Sus scrofa: one gene and its partner. The protein of the gene in region 2 interacts with the protein of the main gene of each other region in a pairwise test. Links are inferred from orthologs where the notes say so. Each region holds a gene or a part of one and is shown on either strand. Other genes may lie near its edges.

Region 1 (6,054 bases), on a different chromosome or scaffold from region 2:
ACAGTAAGGAACACCCAATAAATACTTGTAAATGCATAAATTAATTAACAGACATCAAGTTCACTGTTATTCAACTTTGAATGTGCCTTTATCAACACTGGAGTCATAAGCTTCTTTGAGGACAGAGGTAGTGTCTCTTCTATATTCTCTGCACCTAATGAGTATTTTACATGCAGCAAACAGTCTCCACCACCACTAAACCCACGACAAAATGTTAAACATGTATATTCCTGAAGAGAAAGAGCTGCATTCTCCAAATTTTCCCTCAACTACTGACACTATCCACAAAGCTAAGTGTGCTATTACAAAAGTTAAGGACTCAGGTAACTAGACATAATGTTCCCCCCCCCCCTCAATAATTAATCATTTAAGAATGCATTCTCAGGAGTTCCTGCTGTGGCATAGTGGGTTAAGAATCCAACTGCAGCGGCTTGGTTGCTGTAGAGGCAGGGATTTGATGCCCCTACACCATGGATTAAAGGATCTGGCATTGCTGCAGCTGTGGCATAGATCGCAGCTGCAGCTCCAAATCAGTCCCTGATCAGGGAACTTCCACATGCCCCAGGTGAAGGCATTAAAAAAAAAGATGCATTATCACCTTATTAATCAATGATACTCTGTAAAAACTCTAGGACCAAAATCCATAAAGAAAAGAAAATTGTCCTTATATTTTATGTGACTAAAGTTCTGGATATAACATGGACCCAATAAGTCATTATTAACTGGTTGAATTTAATCACTTGACAACCTTACCAAGGAATTCATTTCTAAATTAATGGCTAGTTGTTTCATTTCCTTTATTATTAATTTTACCTATCTTAATTTTATTTTTAGAGTTCTTCCATAGTGTTCCATTTATTATAAGTGAAATTCTCATTTTACTTATTGCCTAGAAATCTTTAAATGCACATTTATTTCTTCTATTAATTTCCCTTCACATCATCATCCACCCATTTCTATATATATATATAATCAGATATATTTTATATACTTATATAATATAAAGATATATATTACATAAATATATATGTAGATAGATAGATAAATTTAGCCACTTCTTTTTGTGTGACTTACTGCTATGAAAAGTTGTAGGAAAGCTAATGAATGCCAAAGATGATTCTCAGATTTTGTCCATTAGACAAATGCTACTTCTGGATAGTTTCTGTCAATAACCAAACCAAATTATTTAGAGTCATGTGAAATGTGGAAGCTTTTCCACATGAATATCTATCAGATTCATGATCATAAGTTTAAAGCTCCAGGTCAATACACATTGATAATTAAAAAAAAAACAACTCTTGTCACTTTATGTCACATCACACCAATGTAAATTAGAGCAATAGACACCTAAGTAACCACCTTGCCTCAACTACAGGGGAGCTTAAAAACAAAAAATAAAAAAATACCCACACTATCATAGAGATTCTAATTTAATTAAGCTGGGCTGGGGTCCAGGCAGCAATGCTTTAAAAGCTCTCCAGGTGATTCTAATGTACAGTCAGGACTTCAAACCACAACTTCTTAAGTCCTTTTCCTACAATTTATTATTGCACACTCCTGCACAAAAACATTCAAAGAGGCCAAAGAACCTAGTGATGAGATCCAAACTCCCTGGCCTGGCACTCAAAGGTCTCTACAATGTGGCTGTTTCTGGTTCCAAGTCTCCTACTTCAACCAAATCTGCCTAATCAAAATCCTGTAAATACATCATTCACAGTTTTAGATTGTAGTACTACAATTGTTTTTTTTGGGGGGTGTCACCCTTTCAACTGGAAATTGTCTTTCCTACATTTTGTTATTCCAGCTTTAGTCCAAGTTCCTAAGTCTCCACAAAGTACCAAATGTTCTGTCTCTGAAATCCATGAGGCATTCACTATCTCTAGAACTTAGTTGATATTTGGTTGTAGTGCTACCACCTTGTACTATAATTTATTTTTGTACATGTTTCTACTCTTCAGCTAGATTGGAAGCACAAACAGAACTACAAATGACTGTATACCTAGAGCTTACTCAAGTACACAATCAGTAATGATAAAACGGAAAAACACTTAAGTATATAAAACTAAACTTGTTCAAAATGAGTTATCTTTTTTCTCTACAATGTACCTGGCTAACTTTCTTCTATGATCCAAGTATTCATCATTCATACAGACTACATATTTCAAAAGCTGTTTCTCATACTACAATTTACTAACCAATGTATGTGCCTAGAGTTACTGCAACTTTCACTAACTTTAAATACCTGGCACTTTTGAAAAACTTTTTCCTCCCACCTTATTATAAGAACTAAAAAAGGTAACATTATCTTTTAAAAAATATTTCCTATATTTTGTCAGGTATACTGTGCACTGATTTAGAAGGTTTTTCTCTTTTCTTTTTTCCCAGTCATCTCTTAATAGCTTCGGAATCAGAAAATACTGTTTTAATGGCTGTGTGTTATAAGTCCCATTATAAGTCCTTGTACCTAACTTATTTCTGCTGCTTTATGAACTTGCTTCCTAAGCCAAAAGGTCAAGAACAAATGCTAAGTCACCAAGTATTACCACATTCTACAGCCTTAACAGGTGAACAAGTCTTATATAAGAAATGTTCTAGGTTAAATGGCCTTTGACCCTGAAGTTCCAGATCATGGCCTTTAACAGTTGTAATGTCACCTTTACCTTTGTAACTCACTGTTACCAGACTAATATGATTATTGGTGTGCTTTGCATGCAACACTAACTTCTCAAATTTCGCTTCTGAAGAAATTAACATTAGGCCCCCCTAAAAGAAACCGAAGACAGATTTCGAGAAACTCAGCAATTTCCATAATCACGCTCAGGCAGTAACACTAAAAACTCAGTAGTTGACACCTGGGCATACCTCACCCCAAGCCCTCCACTACTCTCTCTAAACTTACCATCCAGTACTTGGGACTGAACCAAACTTAAGGACCCCCAGAATCTGGGACAAAACGGTGTGTTTCCACTTGGCACCGTCTCCAAAGACCCCTCCAGACCTCCTGCTTTCTGGCTGATTCCAGTGACAGGAGACAGGTCTGACTTCCTCCCGTGTCCCGGCACCCAGCACCGCCAGTTCTGCGGCCCCCGAACTTCGAATCTCAGCCCTCTTCTTACCCAGGCCTGCACGCCTCATCCTGCCAGAGGAGCGGGGGGAAAAGGCGGGCCGACGGGGTGGGCAGGAAGAGGCTAGGGGCCACCCGGACAGCGTCCTCAGTACCAGGGCCCGGCGAAACACCAACTTCTTTCCCCAAAGCGCCACGACATCAGTGGAGTCTAAACATCGCGCTGGCTGATGGCGTCACCCAAGGCACTTATTGGCCTCGCGAGGTGGCTTGAATGGCATTCTGGGAAATGTAGTTCGCCGCCGAGGCTAGAAGCCGGGCTGAAGCGTAGGATGAAGCCGGGTGGAGGAGCGGGCGGGGCTTGCGTAAGAAGGGCGCGCGGCCCGACTTCCACTCTGCAACCAGGACCCTGGAGCTCAGCTCTTGGGCTGGCGCTGGCTCTCAGCTGTTCAACTGAGTTCATCTACCCTTCCCAGACCAAGAGAGGATGGTTGACTTCTTTTTCCTGATTCAGCCTCTCACTTCTCTCACCTGGAGTTAGTTCAGGTAAAGTCAAAGAAAACTTTATTCAAGTTTCTTAACTCACACACAAGTGGGGACCCATAGAAGGGAAAGAAGAGGGTAACCGACTTGTTCCAGGTCACCCAGTAGAGAAAACCGTGGAGTAGGGCTGCTGCTCGGATTAAAGAAGGCAATGAAAGTAGCCTGGTTTCCTCTGAGGCACTGAAGACTCCGTTCCCTGTTACTGGGTTGGTTACATTGCTAGAAGGATCCGAGGCTATTAGTTTTGAAGGGACCGAAGGCCCCTAAACTTCCTTTAGAACTGTTTAACTTAAACAAAGAATACTAAAATACTGTTTGTCCTTTTTAACTTACACAAAGAATGCCGAAATATTGTTTACACGTGGTAATGTGCCAGTGTTTAAAAGCTTGTTAGTGAGGGTAGAGTCATTCTGGAATTGGGGTTAGTCCTAGACTTTCATTTTATCTCACGGGGATTATTGTGAGGATTAACTGAAATAACTTAAAAAAAAATCTGATGTGCATTAGTTGATCAGAAACCCCTGGATTCTAGCCGTTTTGTCGTTGCTGCTGTATGACAGTTGGGATACTCTCCATACTAGAGATTTTTGAGAATGCAATAATCGCTGATCATTTGGTGCTCCCCCCACAGTTTCCCAATATGAACATTGACTGTAGTAATGGTAGAGTAAGTCTCTGCCCCAAGGTTGTTTTTGTAAAATACAACACACAAAAACCAATTTTTAATAAAAGTTACTAACATGGGAAATAAGATTAATCCAATAGCGTTTTGAGAGAAAAACAGTCTTCATAAAAATAAACAACCATTTTCTAAAAACAGGGGAATCAGAGACAGTTATTGCAAATAAACACTGAAGGTTCAATAAGAGAAATGGCATTTTAACTTAATATCTGTGACAGTCCCTTTTTTTTCTAAGAAGTGCATGTGTTCTATAACCAAAGCATGTCAGAAAAATCATCTTAAAAAGATTTCTTGTGGTAATGTAAAAATTTTTAAATCTGATGTTAAGCTTACCAAAACAGATTATTTAAATTACATATGTACTTATCCTCTTATAAAGGGGATAATGCTTCCTTTACATTATAGGGAGACATAATAATAAAATATGAAAGAAGAAAATATAAAGTAATAAGGGGTACCAAGAATTTAACTCAAGACAGGTAAAGCTGGTTTCTATTGAGCTTGTGACCTAGAAATCCAAATAGTTGCTTATTGCTTCTGTTGGCCAGTTACGATGAACTCATTTGAGATTTTGTGTTCAAAAGATGAGGTGGAAAAAATAGATTTAATACAGTATTTAGAACTTTATTCTCTTCTCATAAGATAATTTCATAGAAAACATCTAATCTTTGGGGTCTATAGGAAATGAATGACTAATAATGACTGATCCTTACTACTATTATAGTAACTATAGAAACAAGAATATGAGCAGGAAATGTCTGAATCTTGGTGGGAAATTTGAAACTTTCTTTTTTCCTATTGTCTGTTTCCTGCCCCTGTGGCCTTCCTCCTCCAGACCAAATTCCAGGGCTAATCCAAGGGAAATAGCACACCAAGCTCTCAAAAGTAGCTACATCAACATTAAAAATGTTCCAATCATGAAGCAAATTCATTATATCAAGCATCATATTTGAACTTTAAGAAAATGTTAGCTAAAATTCAATAGCTCTTAACTTACAAAGAGGCTTTGGAACAAAACTTAGTTTTTAAGCCAGTTATTTGGCACTTAAATGTATTTCTCTTGGAGGCAGAAATGATGGATGATAAGGTTCCCAACCCAGCCCAATAGCATGGCTATTATGGTTCCTATGTTAGCCAAAATCTGTGTAACCCATAGTACAGCTGAAATACTATATATTTTCAATGAAAACTAGTAGAAAAAAAATTGTAATCCTCATGGTAAAATAAGATCATTAGGAGTTCCATGGTGGCCAAAGGGTCAAGGATCCAACATTGTCACTGCTGTGGTTCTGGTTACTGCTGTGGCTTGGGTTCAATCCCTGGCATGGGAACTTTCGCATGCCATGGTGCAGCCAAAAAAAAAAAAAAAATCATTAAAAAAGAAACAATTTTTGAAAGTATTTTGGTCATTCTTGTTTGAGAAAATATTCAGAGTTTTCAAAGAGCCACCCATTTGACCTTCCCTTTCCGTAATTCAGGAATATAAGTGAGACACACAATTCCAACTGAAAACCACCCAGCATAGCCGCCAGCATGATCTCTGGGACCCTATGCAAAATGAAAATGCAAAACTCCTCATTCAGAAAAGCAGGGGAAAAGTTTAATTAAATGTAACAAAAATAAAAGTTTTTTCTTTTGTTGTTATCATCTCACCCCACCAACTTGTCATGATGTTTTATTTGCTATTTAATGTACTAAATAAAGAAAAATAAAAATTTAAATAAAATTATTAGCATGAATTTTACCCTTTTGATGGTTCAGTGTC
Region 2 (5,262 bases):
GGTCTAGCTGTGGCAAATAGATGATCACTAAGTGTTTGTTGAATGAACAAAAGGCAGACCTTTTCTGCTGGCCGTTGGCACTGCAGCGACAATCTGTGGTGTGTGACTGGTCCAAATCTCTCTCTTTTTCTTCCAGAAGAGGTGCTTGGTCTCCAGCTGCCCTTGTAGCAAGCGGTGGTCATGCCAAACAGTTCTGGCTAGTGAGACAGTCTCTTGCGGGCTCTTGGAAGCCTAGTGCTTTTCTTTATAAAAAGGAAGGGATGTGTCCCCTTCTCTCTGCACATATGACATATGAAGCTAAAATACCCACCATCTCCTGAGCACAAGAAAGGGGCCAAGAGAATCACAGAGAATTCACAGCCTGCTGGCCCCGGTGCTGTGGAAACTCTGAGCTGTGGGCCCGCAGCTGCCCTCCTCCAGACTTGTTTTATGAGGAAAATAAAACCCCTAGTGCTTAATCCATTATTGGGCGTTTTGCTATTGTTAAGAAATGTAGTTGCCAGTGTTAAAAAGCCAAGAGACTGAGAGTTCTCTGTGGCACAGTGGCTTAAGGATCCACCATTGTCACTGCAGGGGCTTGCATCACTGCTGTGGCGCAGGTTCAGTCTCTGGCCTGGGAACATCCACATGCTATGTATGGGTGTGCGCCCCCCCCCCCCCCCGCAGAGGGGAAAAAACCCAAACAAACAAGAGACTTCACATAAAAAAAAAAAAAAACCCGAAAAACAATACAGGGGTGTGGATTCTGGAGCACAGTGTCTGGGGTCCTAGCAATGGGTAATCCCAAGTCACAGTGGCACAACCATGGGAATAACAGTAACAAGAGCTCTGGGAAATTCATTGAACCAGACTTTGCTCTGAGGCGGTGGGGAGCACGGCTCACACTGGAGGAGGCTGGAGGTAGCAGAGCTGGAGGTGGGGCCAGGTGGGGGGCGGAGACTGGCCCAGCAGCAGGACCGAGAGCAGCAGCAGCAGCAGCAGGCCCAGGACTGGTGCTGGGATAAGTGGGTGCCGAGTGACCCTGCTGGGGGGCAGGACAGTGCTTGGGGGGGTGTCCAGGGGAGCCCACGGTGTCCCAGCAATGCCCTGATGCCTGACCACCACCCTCCTTCTGCAGATACCTTGGGGTACACCTGAGATGCTGGGAGTGCAAGGGGCACAGGCAGAGCTGGCTCCAGATGGGCCTCCTGACTGGGACCAGCTCCCTCACCACCGGCACCAGGGCTAGCTGCGGCTCTGGCTCTGAGGGGCTGTTGGCGAGAAAGGAAGGCAGGGCAGTGGCACTGGTGCCCCCAGGTCCCCTCCCGGGCCCTTGGGTTCCACTACCTCTCAGGAGGGGTTCCTGGGATGTCTGCAGGGTCTGAGTCTCCCAGAGGGATGGGTAGATCCACCTTGGAGGAAAAAGGAGACAAAGCTGAGGCACTGGGTCCTGGACTGGGAGAGGTGCTCAGTTCAGCCCAGGAGACAGAAGTGACCACACAGAAGGGGTGGAACACAGAGATTCAGCGCCTAAGCTTCTCTGAGCTTACTACAGCGCTGGGCTCCCCGCTCTGCCAGCTGCCTGCTGTGCATCCCTTGGCGTGTCACCCCACCTCTCCAGGCCCCATTTTCCCATCTGCCAGACAGGGATGAGAAGGCACTCACCACACAGGCCTGAAGTGGGGAATGAATGAGTAAATGCAGGAAAAACCAAAGTATGAGGAGGTGGGCTCAGAACAGTGCCTGACAAACAGTGAGCCCTCGATAACTGCGTGAGCTCCTCAGTATTATTATTTCCATTTTCTATCTGATTCTGGAAGTATCCAAGCCCCTGAGGGCAGAGCCCCTATCTTCTCCAGGAGCCCAGGCCTGGGCTGGGCCTGGTCCAGCATGGGCCCTCCACAAGCCCATTGCACTGCCCTGTGCCAGGTCCAGCAGGTGATTTAAGGTTAAAGCCCCAAATATTCCTCCAGGGGCTTTGCTCTGTGGACAATGATTATGGCAATAGCAATAGATTTAGAAGGGTAGAGTTCCAGCAACACCAGTCCGAGCCCCTCTCCTCGCTGTTGTTGCCTACCCTGCCTCTGCTCTGGCCAGGCTGGCCCTTGTGATGTGTTGCGACTCTGACAGCTGACTACAGATCAAAATCACACCAGCCATGAGGAAAGTGAGGTGGGGCCCCAGCCTCCAGGGACGGGAGCATGCTGTGGTGGGAAAGAGGTGGGCTTTGGGGTCAGGCTGCCCAGAGAGACCATCTCGGATGGTTTGGACCCTAGTCTCCCGATTATCTGGGTGCTCTCCTGGGCATACCTTGAAGGGTCCCGGGTGCCTGGAATGGAGGCTGGCACACCTTTGGGCTCTCATGTTTTTCTTTCTTTCTTTCTCTTTTTTTGTCTTTTTAGGGCCACACCCTCAGCATATGGAGGTTCCCAGGCTAGGGATCCAATCAGCGTTGTAGCCGCCGGCCTACACCACAGCCACAGCAACACGGGATCCAAGCTGTATCTGCGACCTACACCACAGCTCAAGGCAACGCCGGATCCTTAACCCACTGAGCAAGGCCAGGGATCGAACTTGTGTCCTTATGAATGCTAGTCAGGCTCACTAACCACTGAGCCACAACGGGAACTCCTGGGCTCTCACGTTCCTTATCTGAGGACCACAGGCTTCTGGCCTCACCAAATTTCCTTCCCTCCCATCCCTTGCCTGAGAATCGGGATTGTTGCCTGCAAATTTGAGGAGCAAAGGAGCCTGGGTATGTGGTGCCAGTGTGTGTGGTGTCGGGCAGGGCAGCTGTGACAGGCGTGGTGCCCCAAGGGAGTTCTGGGGCTGGTGGGGAGGGTCCGGCCCTTCCTGTGCAGGGTGCATGTGCGTTTTTGCAACCTGGGGGTGTAGCATGCCTGTGAGGCCTATGGCATGGTGGCTGCAGCCCTGAGTGTGAGCTGGTGGCGGAGGGGGAGGGGGGGGTCCCTTGGGAACATTCTGGCCGCCCACTGGCTGCAGCCTCCCTCTACAGCATCGTCTGCTCTCATTAGCTACCAAGAGGGCATTGTTATCTCTTGGCTAAACGATTTTTCTGTCTGGTGGGTGGAATGGGGGTGTGGGTGGGGGCTGGGGAGGAGCTGTGACTACAGCAGCCTCGTCTGAGGGCCTGGAGTGGATGGTGCTGGGGACTGCCTACCGTCACCTGGCTCTCCGCTTCCTCTTCTTCCTCTCTTCTGGGCAACCTGGGGTGGTGACAAGAAAGTCACTGAAAACATCTGTCATCCCTGCCTGGCTCCCTTTTGCCTGCCGTGTGGTGGAATCTTTAAAGCAGGGGCCTGGAGGTGGAGGGGCACCAGGGATGGGCCTGGAGGGTACTCTGGACCCCCATGAGCAAACTGGTGTGTGTACGTCAGTGTCTGTATTTTTCAGGGGAATTTTCACCAAATTCTCCAAAGAGTCTGTGACTCCTGAAAAGGATCAGGGGCCTCTTCACCTCACTGGCTTTTTCAGCTGCTACTTTCCCAGCTGATCTCCCAACTGGGAACTGAGGCTTCTGTTATCTCACACTTTAAACACTGGAGACTCGGACCCGAGACACACCCACTGCCCCAACTTCCTGTCTGGTGGGTTGGCCATTTTCACTGAGTCTCACTGAAACTCTTCTCTGAGGCCTGGAACTCCAGCTCAGACTTCCCCGAGCCCAGCATCCAACTGTGTGAGCCCTACACCCACCCCAAATCATTTCTCTGAGGTGCCAGCCCCCACCCTCCGTGCCTCCTACGGTCACAGCTGACTGAGCACCTGAAAGGCCTCCGTGGGGACTCAGGCCTCAAGCTGCCCAGCCCCAGAGCCCCTTGGAGACTCTGCTGTCCACATCATCCACTGGCACCTTCACTGGGGAGCAAGGATCCAGCCCTCCAGCCTCGGCCACCAGCTGCAGACCCAGCACCCTTGGGATACAGCTGTCCCCTCAGTTACTGCTCAGGAAGGCAGCTTGGCTCCTGGGCCCCCAGCCTCTGCCCCAGTCAGACACACGGCTGTCTGATCCTTTGGGACTTCTACTCAGGACCCCCGGTCCCTCTCAAGGTCCAAGCCCTCATCCCTGGTCACCTCCAGGGGACACAAAATTCACCACTTCCCTCACTCCCAGCTTCCCAATCTGTAGCTCATGCTGCCCCAGCATCCCTCTCCCCAAAATCCAAATGTCCAGCCCCCACACCAGCTTCTGTCCCCGCAGCTCAGCCCCATCTTCCTCCCTTTCCCTGGTGACGCAAGCAGAGGTCACAGCTCTGGGGCCCCCATCCTGCCAGATCTCAGCTTTCCCAGACAAGTCCAATTAGAGGCCGAGGCAGCAGCCTCATTAGTGGCCGAAGCTGGGAGCCTGAGGGAGGCCGGGGGAGGGGGGCGGGTTGGGGGGGGGTGGAAGAGGCACCACAGGAAGGCAGAGGCCCCGAGGAGGAGGGGCAACCGGATATCTAGCGCTTTCTCTGTCCTCAGAGGTTGCACGTGAGCCTCTAACGGTCTCACCGGGCAGAGGCTCACCCCATCCCATCACCAAGCAGCCAAGCTGGGATCTGAACCCAGGCTGTCTGATTCCAGAGCCCCTGACGTCTCCCAATTGTCTGGTTGCTCTCCTGGGGCACAATCTGAGCCTCATTCATCCCAGGAAGCCGTGGGAGGGGTGCGTTCAGTGACCGGGACTGAGTGCCTGAGCTGTCCCCCTTGCCTGACAGCTGTATTCTTGTGTAAGGGTCTCCTACATGAATGCCAGCCCTGCTGGACCCCAAGCAGGGCCTCCCGCAAAGCCACCCCCTCTGGGTGTCCTCCCAGAACCGTCTGGGTCAGGGGCTGTCTCCTCCACAGACGGAAGGTGCTGAGGGCAGGACTGGGTCTGACTCAACCCAGTCCACGGGCCCAGGGTCGCCGCAGCATGAAGGAACGAGGGCAGGAGTGACCCACTGCTCCTTCAGGGCTCTTCCGGGCTCTGCACTCTATCCACTAAGAAGGGGGCGTCACCCCAAGGCAGAGCCGTGGCTCAGGGAGGACCACTCTTCTCACCACATCGATCGCTCCTTCCTTTCGTCAGGAGGGTGTGCTGGTTCTCCCTGCAAGTTGTTCTGCGGGAAAGAAAAGCTCGGGTTTCTCAGGCTGCAACCCCTGCACGAATTCACCAGCTGCTTCTAAGACCTGCCTCCCCCTGGACCCCTTCTCAAGGATGGCTCTACTACCCCTCCGGGGGCAGAAACCAGACACTGGACGGTTGCTCCGGACCCCACCAAGCCTCCTTCCTCCTCGGGA

What was found. The genes of interacting proteins can lie anywhere in the genome.
Region 1: the proteins of CCDC155 (region 2) and BET1 interact in binary tests that used the Homo sapiens proteins (3 or more experiments, as listed by UniProt). The two-hybrid records come from large-scale screens. The link is inferred for Sus scrofa from reciprocal best matches to the Homo sapiens genes KASH5 and BET1.

The regions. Positions count from the first base shown.
Region 1 is NC_010451.4:73,789,349-73,795,402, forward strand, and holds the start of BET1 (BET1 homolog), read right to left. Parts: upstream 3,306-6,054; 5' UTR 3,136-3,305; coding exon 3,117-3,135; intron 1-3,116. UniProt on the Homo sapiens protein: Required for vesicular transport from the ER to the Golgi complex. Functions as a SNARE involved in the docking process of ER-derived vesicles with the cis-Golgi membrane.
Region 2 is NC_010448.4:54,496,505-54,501,766, reverse strand, and holds the end of CCDC155 (protein KASH5), read right to left. Parts: intron 5,082-5,262; coding exon 5,023-5,081; intron 3,207-5,022; coding exon 3,161-3,206; intron 1,392-3,160; coding exon 1,327-1,391; intron 1,251-1,326; coding exon 1,122-1,250; intron 1,025-1,121; coding exon 880-1,024; 3' UTR 668-879; downstream 1-667. UniProt on the Homo sapiens protein: As a component of the LINC (LInker of Nucleoskeleton and Cytoskeleton) complex, involved in the connection between the nuclear lamina and the cytoskeleton.